Linked DNA regions of Mus musculus: regions 1 and 3 are each reported to be linked to region 2. Evidence: microRNA targets listed by miRTarBase, many of them from high-throughput screens and not tested one by one. Region 2 holds a microRNA gene; each other region holds the end of a gene's coding sequence.

Region 1 (4,208 bases), not on the chromosome of region 2:
TTACACAAAGTGACCGTGACGACGGCATCCTTATCCTGGAGAATTTCAGAAACAGTCCCCAGGCCCGCCTGCTGCCATCACAGAGCCTGGACCAGCATCCCAACAAAACCTGCTGCCTGTCCTGCATTGTCAAAGAGTGGTTTGCTCAACACTAAAAAAGAATGGCAAGCGAAACCCTAAAGTGGATCGAGAAATGCTGAAGGAAGTTATCACCAGCGGCAACTTTAGACTGCAAAGTATAATTGGCAAGAAAATGGGCCTGGAACACCTAGATCTCCTGGCTGAGCTCTCCCGGAGGGGATTCGTGCACCTGTTGGCTAACATTGTGATGAAGCTCGGGGCACGGACTTAATAAACCTGTCTAAAGTGAGCAGAATTTGGAAGAAGATACTGGAAAACAATAAGGGAGCGGTCCAGCTCTACAGCAAAACCATGCAGAGTCATTGAAAGCAGTAAGTTGTCACTACATGCTGCAACGAGAGGACATGTTGTGGGCAGACCTGCACTAACTTCTGTTCAAAGTCATCGTCGACCTGGGCACCTCCCAAAAAAAGATGTTCAGGTCAAGTCCTCCAGTCAGCGTGGTCAGAAAGGTTCTACCTACAGCTGGCACAACAAGTTCGTGGAGGTGGCAGACATTGAAGAACAAGGGAAGCCTCAAAGCCTGTGCTTGCTATAATTTCCCTGCAAAATATGACCACTATTTAGAGCGAGCAGTCTGCAAACGGGAAAGCTGTCAATTTGAATATTGTACAAAGTGTCTGTGTGCTTACCATAACAACAAAGACTGTTTGAATGGCAAGATCCTAAAAGCCAACTGTAAAGTGGGTCCTTTGCCTGTAACTAAAAAGAACTTACTAAGATCGTGACCTTTTAGAAGATCAACTGTAGATCTTGGCTACTTAAAACAAAAACCAAAAAACCCTCAAACTTTAAGAAAGTAAAAATAATTATGATGCCTTTTGTGAATAGAGGAACTAATTGTTCATAAAAGTGCCAAGATTGACTTATGAAAAACAAACAGGATGTCTATCTTAGATACTAAGATAGAATTGATTGGAGTTTTGGCAAGGGAGGGCTGTGGTCTGTTTGATGGATCTGAGAGCACTTGCTTCAGTGTCAGTATCTGAGATTTGCTTTACCAAATTTGTGTCATGCTTCTATCAACTTGACTCTGTCCATTTAAACGTCTGTCAATACGAGTTTTTTATATCTGTAAATATCTGTTTTCACGTGCCGAATAAAACAAGTACACATAATTTTGTTTACTTACAATAAAATTGTTAGAGGCTTAAAAAAAAGAAGTTAAATGGAGCTCATATTTATCTTACGGAACTAGCAATTTTCTTCCTTTAACCATAATCTACAAAATATAGTATTTTCATCAAGGCCTGAGATTATTAGGGTTAAAGGTGTCTGCTGCTGAAAAGATTGTTTTAAAAGGTTCCCCTATGAAAATGGCAAAAGTCAACTGAGTCCTCTTCTCCATGACAGTCTCTATAACACTGACTGCGTACCTTCAGAAGAGAGTATTACTGCAAACTTTGGTGGAAAGGAGACATCAAGGTGACAAAATAGCACACAGAATACACACATCCACACATCCATGTGCACGTGTATGCACACTCACGCACAGCATTTTGTAAAAATTAACACGGTATCATCACTTTATCAGCTCATCCTTCTACTCGTTGACTCCTTAGAGGAGTCAAAGGAAACCGCAGGTATGACCTATGGAAAACTGAAGAGTAACTGTAGGCAGCGGTTCCCGACTCTAAAAACCAACCAAACCAAACATTGTGCCACACACGTTAGGTGGAGATGGGAGAACTCTAGGCTCTAACTGAACTGAGAGCAACGGAACACCAATACAAAAGCGTCCCTTTACTTTTGCACAGGCTGTGCTGCAAAAAAATAAAGTCTGAAGTCGGGCTCTCCAGGTGGCAACAGGAATCTCTATGGCTCTCTTCTATGCACTTTGTGGAGAACTTCTGTCAAGTCTGCAAGTTCAAGGCTATTTACTCGGGGTTCTGCTCCACTCCATGCGTTCTACGTCTTAACAAAATTATTCATGATAGTGTTATCTGAGGCTTAAATGAGACAGCTTTAAGCTATTGCTCTCGAAAGTCAACAAGAAATCTGCTTGCTTATGCTGCACTGGTTCTGAGACATACACATTCTCTCTACATGAATACAACTCATTTACCAAATACTTGAGGAAAACAGTAACCAAAATGTTTCACTTTGTAACCAGAAAATTACAATTTCCTAAAATGAAGCTAAACATAAATATGTCTTTAGATAAAAATAGTAGCAATTATGACCCCAATGGCCAATATAAAGAAAAATCCTTATTTATTTCTGCAAAACGCCACTTGCTTTGAAATGAACTCCAGCCATCCCTGCATTTAAATTTCGTCACACGCAATGGGGAATGTTTATGTAGGCTACTACTGAGGCTTTATTTGCAACACTGTAACAGTCAGTCACTGAGCAACACAACTTGTTTTTTCTTTTTTCTTTTTCTTTTTTTTTAAAAAAAAAAGCCACATTTACACATGTTGAAACAGTGAATGCAACAGTTGTTCTACTGGTAACCACATGACAAAAGTGATGTCACACACCACAAATTTGCTGGTTCTCCTCATGTTCCCTATACCCAGGATTAGCATCTCCTAGGGATCAATGCACTTCTTATTCTAGTGTGGAATGGAATGAAGAAAAGGAAATGCATAAAACAAGGAAAGGCAAAAGAGTGATGTTCCCTCTTTAGCTTTGTAGCTGTGAAATATTTAATATCCCAATATGACATACATTCCAAGTTACCTGAGTTTAGACTTCAACTGAAGTACCTGAAGCTAGGCCATAGGGTGGGCACTGTGCAACTGTTGTGGCCATTTTTTTTTTTTTTTTGCATTGTATGTATTATAGAAGTTAGAAACAAACACCTGGATCAATTGTAAACATAATCCTGAAGTACAGTATTTTCCATAGGACAAAACACAGCAAGACATTTTCTACTTAGACAGGCAACTTTTTGAAATAGAGCTTATTCATACTGAAAATGTTGGAACAAAACACAGGACACAGTACTAATCTGTCAGACATACTATGAAATGCATAGTCTCCATTAAATGCTGAATGACACACACATTTTTGCAAGCATTACTGCTTTCCACAAAAACTGCTGAATATAAGTCGGTCCCTGCCAAGATCAGTGTTAATAGCTATTTTGTGATGCTAAGTACTTTGCTGTTGGTGATGTTGGGAAAGTTTGTCACTCCATGCAGATAGATGTCTGAGATCTCATTCCCAATCCATGGACCATGGGTGGAGACCAGCTCCCCCTCTGCTTTAGATCATCACATAGTTCTGAGTGGAGACGTGTTCCTCCACCTGCAAGTCCTGTAGGAGCTGCTGCTGCTGAGATGGCTGCTGGGCAGAGGGCTCCAGGGAGTCGGCTGTGCTGGTGTCATCAGAGAGAGATGTGAAGGAAACCCGGGAGGAAAGCTGCTCTACGGTCAGTGTTGCCAGAGCCGAGCTCTGGCCAGAATTAGGGGAGTTCTTGAGCATCAGGTCAGAGGCAGGTAAGAGAGGGCCTAGAAGTTTTACAGGACAGAAAGCTGATCCGGTTGGGATGAAATTAACCTTGTTTTTGTCAGGACATGAAAAGAGAGGGGCCGAGATAGGCTGACGAGACCTAAAAGCATAAAACAGAATTAGTTTTCTGATCACTATAATGTACTCTGTGAATAACTTGGAGTTTTATAAAACAGCTACAGTGTGAATGACAGGGTGAGGTATGTGCACACAGAGGAAAGACATCTTCCATAGCACAGGTCAGCTGGGAGATTATCACATATAGCGCACTGAAATGACACTTAAGGAAAAAACGATTTTCAGAAGGGCCAGGCAAATTTTTAGAGATCTTTGGTTTGCTTCCAATCATTGAGGAATATAAAAGAAATTCTACACTGTACTTGAGGTATTATACACATTTAGGATGAACATCACTAATAAGAAGTATAAATAGAAATGTTATTTATCATTTATTTGATTTTAAGCCCTTTCAACTTTTTCTGCATCTTTAGATATATATCTATCAGTACAGATGGGGAAAAACTGTTTTTTTCTGTGGTCTCTCAATCAGCCAAAAGAATAGAGTCCGTATTCCCACAACACCCACTTTCCAAACTAAACCAACAACT
Region 2 (4,208 bases):
AAATGGCTTTGCAGTATACCTGCCTGCTGTTTTTACTTTTAATTAAATGTGATCATAAAAACAAACAAACAAACAAATACCCTAGGCTGGGTATGGTGACGGTTGGGAAGTAGACGGTCACAGTGAGTTAAAGACCAGCCTGGGTGCTCACTTCGGCAGCACATATACTAAAATTGGAACAATACAGAGAAGATTAGCATGGCCCCTGTGCAAGGATGACACACAAATTCGTGAAGCGTTCCATATTTTTAGGAAGACCAACGTGTGGATACTTCATTCCTCCCTAGAATACGGAATAAAATATCCATGGAAGGAGTTGCAGAGACAAAGTTTGGAGCTAAGACAAAAGGATGGACCATCCAGAGACTGCCCCACCCAGGAGTCTACCCCATAATCAGCCACCAAACGCAGACACTACTGCATATGCCAGCAAGATTTTGCTGAAAAGATTCTGATATAGCTGTCTCCTGTGAGGCTAGGCCAGTGCCTGGCAAATACAGAAGTGGATGTTCACAGTCATCTATAGGATGGAACACAGGGCTCCCAATATAGGAGCTAGAGAAAGTTCTCAAGAGCTGAAGGGGTCTGCAACCTTATAGGTGGGACAAAAATATGAACTAATCAGTACCCCCAGAGCTCATGTCTTTAGCTGCATATGTAGCAGAAGATGGCCTAGTCTGCTATCATTGAGAAGAGAGGCCCCTTGGTCTAGCAAACTTTACATGCCCCAGTACAGGGGAACGCCAAGGCCAAGAAGTGGGAGTAAGTGGGTAGGGGAGCAGGGAGGGGGGAGGGTATAGAGGACTTTTGGGATAGCATTTGAAGTGTAAATGAAGAAAATATCTAATAAAAAAAAGTGGGGGGAAAAAAACAGAATAAATTGACCTCTGTGACAATAACACAAAGTAATAAATGTCTGTAAACATGCAAAAAAAACCAAAAACAAAAAAACCCAAAAAACCAACCAAACAAACAAACAAAAAACCAGCCTGGATTACCAAGAATAAAATCTACTAGCCCAAAACATAATTAAAAACAGAAAAGGGGAGATGGCTTAGAGAGCAAAATGCTTGCTATGCCAGCAGTGCTGAGTGTACAGAAATAGACACAATCAAGGATTCTCTGGTCAGCCAGTCTCGCCAAACTTCCAGGTGTAGGTTCAAGTCGAAGACTGTGTCTCAAATAATAAGGCAGAGAATTAACAATGGAGATACCCTGACATCCGTCTCTGGCTTCTGCATGCACCCCTTGTCAGTGCACCCCCGCCCCCAATCTCGCCAAGGGCTGGCGGTACACTGCTTCAAAAGCAACAAAAAGAAAGAACCAAAAACTTTCCATCATTCCTGTATGCCGTTGCTGGGAGCATGCTCATTACAGCCACATCTGAAAGCTGCCCTAGCCAGGAAAACTTTCGGATGTGGCTGTAATGAGCATGCCTACAACTCAGGATTTCTACCCTCCCGTGTATAACCAACAAGAATATGCAAATATCTTACAAGTACACTTTCAAGATCCTGAGAGTAGCTTATTATTAAATTTACTGTATGCGTGTTATCAAAATTCTGTCCAAAAGCCCACCAGGATCAATAAGAAACAGCACAGCCACATAGCAGGACACCACATAGACGGGAAGAAGAAACAGACCCAGCTACACATAACTCATGGCTCCCACACCATGATGTTGAGCAATAGAAGTCAGAGACCAAGGACTGCACGTTTTTTAAATGTTTCACTTCTATAGTTTAAAAGTATCAACAAGCCTAGCCTGAGCACCTCTCATGTGAGCAGGTCAGTTCCTGTGACCTAGGGTGACGCTGCTGACTCTTCCATGTGTACATGAAACTCCCAGGTAGCTTGTTAACATTTACAGTCTGCAGTGCGTCCCTAATTCTGCTTTTTGAGCAAGGGCTCAGGTAGCTGCTGATGCCACAGGTCTCACAGTGAAGGCTGCACAAACTGAGGTGACAGACATCCTGCTCTCCTCTGGCTTGCTGAGCCATCGGATGCTTGGCCTACATGAGTTCAGTCATTGGTGAGAAATTCTACTAGTGCACATGGACACCATCTGGAGAAACACTACTACAGAAACCAACTGTCCCGCTCCCAACAAGCCGTTTCCTTCCTACTAAAAATTTAGACAAAATAACCTTAAAAGTAGGTATAAGCTGTAAGGAAATAAGAGAGGGCTGGGATGTACCTCAGTGGTACACTGTGGCCTCGGATGCACAAGGCCCATGTCAGTCTCCAGCAAACCAACAATAAAAAACTGCGCACACCTTTAATCCCAGCACTGGGGAGGCAGAGGCAGGCCGATCTTGAGTTTGAGGCCAGCCTGGTCTACAGAGTGAGTTCCACGATAGTCAAGGTTACAGAGAGGCCCTGTCTTGAAAACTAAAACAGGATACTACAACACTGTTATGCCTATGGAGAGAGCACACCTCACACAGGGAGGCCAACTGTCCTTAGAAAGATGAGCCTCCCTCTCAAAAGAGTCAGGACCTAATCCCACACCACCAGTGCAATGAGAAAGAGAAGATTAGAAACTTTTGAGATTCTTAAGGCTAAAATAAGGACAAAGACTATCTCTGACTCACCTTACAAGGGCAAGCAAATTGTCGAGAAGTCTGAGGATCTGCTCTGTGCAGGGGTTACGGAAGATGGGATTTCCACTGGGTGTGTAGCCCACCACAAAGCCCCCAGCTTTGGCTTCTTCTAGGTCGGAAGGCCAGCTAGTGCGTCTCATAACCCCCAGGATGCTGTACACACAAAAGCTCATCTAGAGAGAAGAAGGAAAAACACAGCCGGGATAAGGGGAGAGCACTGAGACACACATGCAGGGGGACAGCGCAGTGTCACCGACAGAGACGGGGAAGAAGCCTGTGTCTCCCACCCCAGCGAGACCTCAGTCCTTGTCCTTATGGTCCAGTCCAAGGGAGGTCTTCTCACTGCCGTTTCTCAGGACCCGTGGGAGGAAGCTCTGGAAGCTCCCTTCTCATTAGCATGTCTTTCCAGGGGTTTAATGACCCTGGGGTAGGGGTGGTTTGGATGAGCTCCACCACCAAGTATTTAAACTGCCATTTTTTTTTTTACCTGACCCTCCATCCAGGACTCCACAGCCTGCATCCTAACCCCCAACCCCTCATGCCAGGCTGGTCATGTGTCTTTCACCGTAGTGGCTTATCTGAGCACCGGTGCACTGGAAGGCCTCAGGGTCTCAAGATTTGGCCATCACCTAGGACTTCACATGCCAGCGAGCAATAGCAGGGGGGACTCACCCTGCCACCAAGTCTGACCTACTTCCTCATTACACCTCCAGTCTTCCGAGCTACTTAGGGATCCTTAAAGCCAAAATAATGACTTCATAGAAAAGACCATCTGCTCTGTTGTGAGAACTAACTCAAGAATTCAAGACTAAAGAAGAAAAGAAAGGAGAAGCTTAGGGCAGGAGAGACTCTTGGGTCTCTCAGCAGTACAGACAAAACAAATCTGAGAAACTTGATCAATGAAACACCCTAACTCCTGCCCGTGGCCAGTGAAACTTCCCATTCCCAGGAGAGTCTTACTCGTGCACGGTTCAAGCCACATGGATCCTCCACAGCTGGGTCACAGCTTTTCAGATCAGCACCCACATAGGCAATGAAGGAGTCAATATCTGACAGCGCTCTGAAGGGAGGGGAGGAAGAAAAGTTCTATCATGATCTTTGTTTAGACAGAGATTTACTTTCTTTTCAGCTAAGTGTATGTGCATGTCTGTGTGGGGTATGTATATGAGTACAGGTGACCTCAGAGGCCAAAAGAGACCATGGGTCCCCTGGAGCTTGTTACAAGCGGCTGTGAGCAAGTCAGCCTGGTGTTGGGCACTAACTCTGGTTGTCTGAAAAAGCAGTAAGCTTTATTAACCACTAAGCCATCCCTCCAAGCCCCTACCGTCATGATTAAAAAAAAAGAAAATGGGGGGAATGTGTGCTTGCATCTATGTATGTCTGTACACCACACAGCGCACAGTTCTTAGTTCCTCAGGGACCAAAAGAGGGCTCTGGATTCCTTGGGGCTGGAGTTACAAATGGTAGTGAGCTACAATGTAGGTGCTTGGAACTAGATGAACCTGGGCCTCTACAAGAGCAGTAAATGCTCTTTTATCAGCAGAGACATCTCTCCAGCCCTCCAAATTTTGTTTGCTCCTACGAGGCAGGGTTTGGTTGACTGGG
Region 3 (4,177 bases), not on the chromosome of region 2:
ATCTATAAACAGTATGAGACTCCAAGGAATCATGACTGTCTGCAGGGACTGATTCAACTGGTGACAGGTGGCCAAATGTATCATGGAGTTCAGCTCCAGAAACAACTGCCTGAACTCAAAATGGAGGATGCATGATTTAATAAGTGTGAAAGGCATAAGAATCTTATCCATCACAATCTAAAATGGTGCAGCAAGACTGCCAAGTTGAGTGTCTAAATAAGGACAAGGATAGCATGCCACTTTGTCCTTTAGTTGTTTGGTCGGAATCCAGCTTGGGATGTTTTTTTTCTTTTTTCTTTTTTTTTTTTTTTTTTAAGAAAATCTATGACCTCAAGCTAGCCTTTTCATCACTCGGGACCCACCAGCTTCAGCCTCCCCAGATGCAGGCTATGAGGGGACAATACCTGTAATCCTGCTCTGGATCCTACTTTCTTTTGTTTTTTGAGACAGGGTCTCATGGAAGCTAGGCTGATCTTGAACCTGGGGCTCTCCTGGCTGTGTGGGTGCTTGGGATAGCAGTCCTCCTGAGAAACAGTTGTGAGAAACGGTCAATGTTTAGCATGAATAGACAGATGGTCTGGGGTCCCACATGAGTCTTATTAGAGAAGTAAGGAGCTAAGAGATTGATCTTTCTATATCATTGTAGTCACAAAACAAGAGCCAGTGCTTTCAAGTTACAATGAGGGTTTTCAAGCATACAGAAGATGTGTGTAGGAAGACACTGTGGTCAAGCGGATCTGGACTTCATTTATCTGGACTGATATCCAGGGAAAATCATGTATCAAACACTGAGTAGGTGACCTATAAAGTCTTGCCTACAAGCTTTGTAATTTGCCATTTATGTGTAAGGAAGGGCTCAGGACAAAGGAACATACAGACACACGCTAGAGTCTGACACAATGGATGAGCCCCTGATTAGAAGGGCGGTGATGTATTTCTCTATTTCACTTGGGTTAATATGAAGATTCTTTCCCATTCTTTCATATATACAAGCAGATATAATGTTTCCCAACAAATCTAATAAAATGAGGCAAAAGTTCAAAAGTTAACGGCCACAATAGTTTATTTACAATTGAACTCTTTATAAGATATTTACAAGACAGCCGACTTTACACATCAGAAATGGTATCAAAAGTATGAATTACAGCACAGACAACGATATGAAACGGGCATAAAATAAAGCTGAGGTGGAGAGACAAGCAATTTCTCTTTTAATTTATTAACACTAGCTTAAACTTTGTTAAAGAAAGAATAAGGAACTATGTTTTCAGAGAAGTGCAGGGCCTCTCTTTCTGCTGAAGACTGAATCTCACAGTGTTGTACCCCACGGAGGGGAAGCAGGTGACTCCCCACGCTCCTCACTGTGCTCTCACCCCAGCCTCCTCAGCATCCCCAAACCAAAGGACATCTAGGAGAGGACATAACCAAATAGTAGGTCCTCAGGGAAAGGAGAACCAAAGCAATAGAATCCACTTCAGTCCTGCCAGATAGCACCTCATGGATTCCTCTCAGTCTAGCAAAAACAGGATCTGAGGACTCCTCTGTGTAGGGCAGAAACCTGGTGGTTAAATCTGTTAACCCATACCCAAATTAGGAATCTGACAAATCTCGTTGTCAAGAAGAAACTGAGAGGGATCAAGAAACGAAGTAAAGAGACAACTGATTGAGGTTATTATTTTTGAGGAGCATGTTATAAAGAAACAACACAGGTCAGAGTAGGAGCACTAAACAGTTGGCCTCATTAAAACAACAACAACAACAACAACAACAACAATCTGGCCCAATCTTTCTAGCTATATCCCCATCCCTAAGGTGTGAGATGAGAGCCCCTAGCGGAGAAGTCCCCTTTCTCTCTACATCCTCGCTGAGGTGGTTTATGGCAGCTTCTGTCACAGAGAGACCACGCTCCTAAGCAGATGGAGTTACAAGTGAAAACCCAGAGCCACACACACACACACACACACACACACACACACACACACACACACACACACACATACAAAGGAGAATTAAGAGCAGCAAGATCATCCAAGAACACTACATGGACTGCTGGAATAATTCCTTTCAAAGTCAAACCCAGGGAGCAAGATAACGTCTCAAAAAAGCTTTAGCAGTGGGAGGCCCCTGAGAACGTCTCTTCCCACAGTGGCAATGCCATTCTCGCATGCTCAGCAGATGGGCCAACCACACACCCTACATACCTTGGCTTCTCCTCTAAAAGTGCTAATAATTTGGGGCCATGTTCTCTTCAAGGATAAGAGCCCTACCCTTCTAGAGATTAGACCCCAACTTGTTTTTATACAATAGTCCTGAAGGCTAGTGAAAGGCAACTCCTATCCAGAAGCCCACAGGCCTCGGCTCCATTTCTCTTCCAGATAGTTAACAGGGATCTTACACTGAGACCAAAGTGGCCTGGGAGTGCTGTCCTGATTTTTTTTTCTTTTTTCTTTTTTTTTTTTTTTTTTCTTTTTTATCTTTTCAGTAACAAAACAAGGGCAGGAGATGGGAAACAAGATGGTTCGTGTATAAATCTATTTTCACTAAACGAATAAAGTTCATTAGGTACAACTGTTTGTTTCAAGCTGTAGACATCTGCCAGGCAGAGGAAGCATATCCTTCCATACCCTACCCCCGGCCCCACCCCAAATCTCTACCTCACCACCAAAAGTTTGGCTAATAGGATCAAGCCCCACTAAGGAATCCTTGAAAAGTGACATGACAGAGACATCTCTACAGACTCTGGCATGCCATCCCCAAATGAGAGCTCTATCGGTTTAGCACTGTTAACTAGTTGGAAACTTACACTCCCAATCTCTTTTCTAAACATCTTCTTTGTTGGGGGTGGGAAGGAACTTCAGTTACCCATCAACTAAGAAAGTGAACCAGCTGCACGTCTCCTCCCACATGCCACTGTCACAGAGCAGTTTAAAGAGAACAAACTTTCAGGTAAAACTCTGCAGTTTCCCCCTCTGAGGAATGTCTTGCTTCATTACTTCATGCTATTCCTCGGGCCCTAAAGTTCACGGTGAAACCTACTACACCCACACTATTCAGAAGGCGCACCAGGGAGGCACGGGGTCAGGGCAGGCACAGCTCCTACAGGAAGGGTTGCTCCATCTTAGACACGCTAATGAAGAGCCCTTTACCCCGTTAGGCAGGCAGGTGAGTTACAAGTGGCCCCTGGGACCCCCAAGTCTCCCCCTATAGGACGAGCTCAAGCTCATCTCCCCAAAATGGGAAAAGCCGCTCCAGTAACCCCTAATTCACAATCAGCCAACGCAAGAGCTTTCTTCTGTTTGTTTTGTGAAATCAGAGTAAAGAAAACAAAACTAATATAAAGGGAGGATGGAAAGGCATTACCAGTGAATGATAACAGACATGAGGGCACAGGTCACACATACAGGTCTCTGCTATTCTCTCGGAACAGCATGCTACAACTATCTGAAGACAGGCTACCGCCAGCACAGCTACTTCCTACAGGTCCGGTGAGGTGTGTGCTTCTTCTGGATCTCCAACCTGCAACGGCTTCGCTCATCCAACCAGGGTAGTTCAAAGTTCCTGGCAAAAAGAAAGACAGCAAAGTGACAAGGCTACTTCCAAGGCAGTAGTCAGCTGACACAGTCACCATCCAAATGGCAATGTCATCTACCTCAGATTAAAGAGCATTCCTAAAGCCGGGCGTGGTGGCGCACGCCTTTAATCCCAGCACTCGAGAGGCAGAGGCAGGCTGATTTCTGAGTTCGAGGCCAGCCTGGTCTACAAAGTGAGTTCCAGGACAGCCAGGGCTACACAGAGAAACCCTGTCTCGAAAAACCAAAAAGAGCATTCCTAATGAGATCTGACGCCTGGCTTCTAGCTTGTCATCAGACAATCATGGCTAGCCCTAAGTCACATGTGTCCCCATTCTATCTAGGCTTCCATGGAGCCTGAAAAGGAGGTACAAACTACCTGAAAAGAGAGGAACAATCTATTTTACTTACTGTGGAGCTAATTTTGGCAATGGCCGTCCAAATGCTACAACAGGCAAGAAGGGGGTAATCAGCAAACTTTCAACTATGGAAGAAAATCACATGGAGCCTTGTTAGCAAAGAGGTGAGAAATATCCAACCGCCACCGCTGCCACCACCACCACCTCCACAGCACAGCTCACCCGTCACAAGCAGCTGTGCTGTGGAGA

The links. Region 2 holds the annotated microRNA mmu-miR-693-5p (CAGCCACAUCCGAAAGUUUUC, at 1,404-1,424, opposite strand). A microRNA usually pairs through its seed, bases 2 to 8, with sites in the 3' UTR of a target mRNA and lowers its output. Matches are read on the target gene's strand: a 7mer-m8 pairs with bases 2 to 8, a 7mer-A1 pairs with bases 2 to 7 and ends in A, and an 8mer does both.
Region 1: miRTarBase lists Glcci1 as a target of mmu-miR-693-5p. Seed matches in the 3' UTR shown: 7mer-m8 at 2,545-2,551.
Region 3: the mRNA of Msl1 is a reported target of mmu-miR-693-5p. Seed matches in the 3' UTR shown: 7mer-m8 at 1,941-1,947.

Annotation. Positions count from the first base shown.
Region 1 is chr6:8,592,399-8,596,606 of GRCm38, reverse strand. It overlaps Glcci1 (glucocorticoid induced transcript 1), which reads right to left. Exons shown (of 8, transcript NM_133236.3): 8 at 1-3,700. The coding sequence ends at 3,355. It also overlaps the pseudogene Gm16042. Among named protein-coding and RNA genes, the nearest start is that of Gm35621, 29 kb to the left of the region's middle.
Region 2 is chr17:46,228,767-46,232,974 of GRCm38, reverse strand. Mir693 (microRNA 693) reads right to left here and starts at 1,444; the gene lies at 1,356-1,444. It overlaps Xpo5 (exportin 5), which reads right to left. Exons shown (of 32, transcript NM_028198.3): 19 at 3,564-3,663; 20 at 2,595-2,776. Gm22474 (a small nuclear RNA gene) reads left to right here and starts at 144; the gene lies at 144-250.
Region 3 is chr11:98,804,723-98,808,899 of GRCm38, reverse strand. Msl1 (male specific lethal 1) reads right to left here. Exons shown (of 9, transcript NM_028722.3): 8 at 3,981-4,053; 9 at 1,041-3,558. The coding sequence ends at 3,468. All of the region lies in intron 1 of Gm12359 (predicted gene 12359), which reads left to right. Among named protein-coding and RNA genes, the nearest start is that of Casc3, 3.0 kb to the left of the region's middle.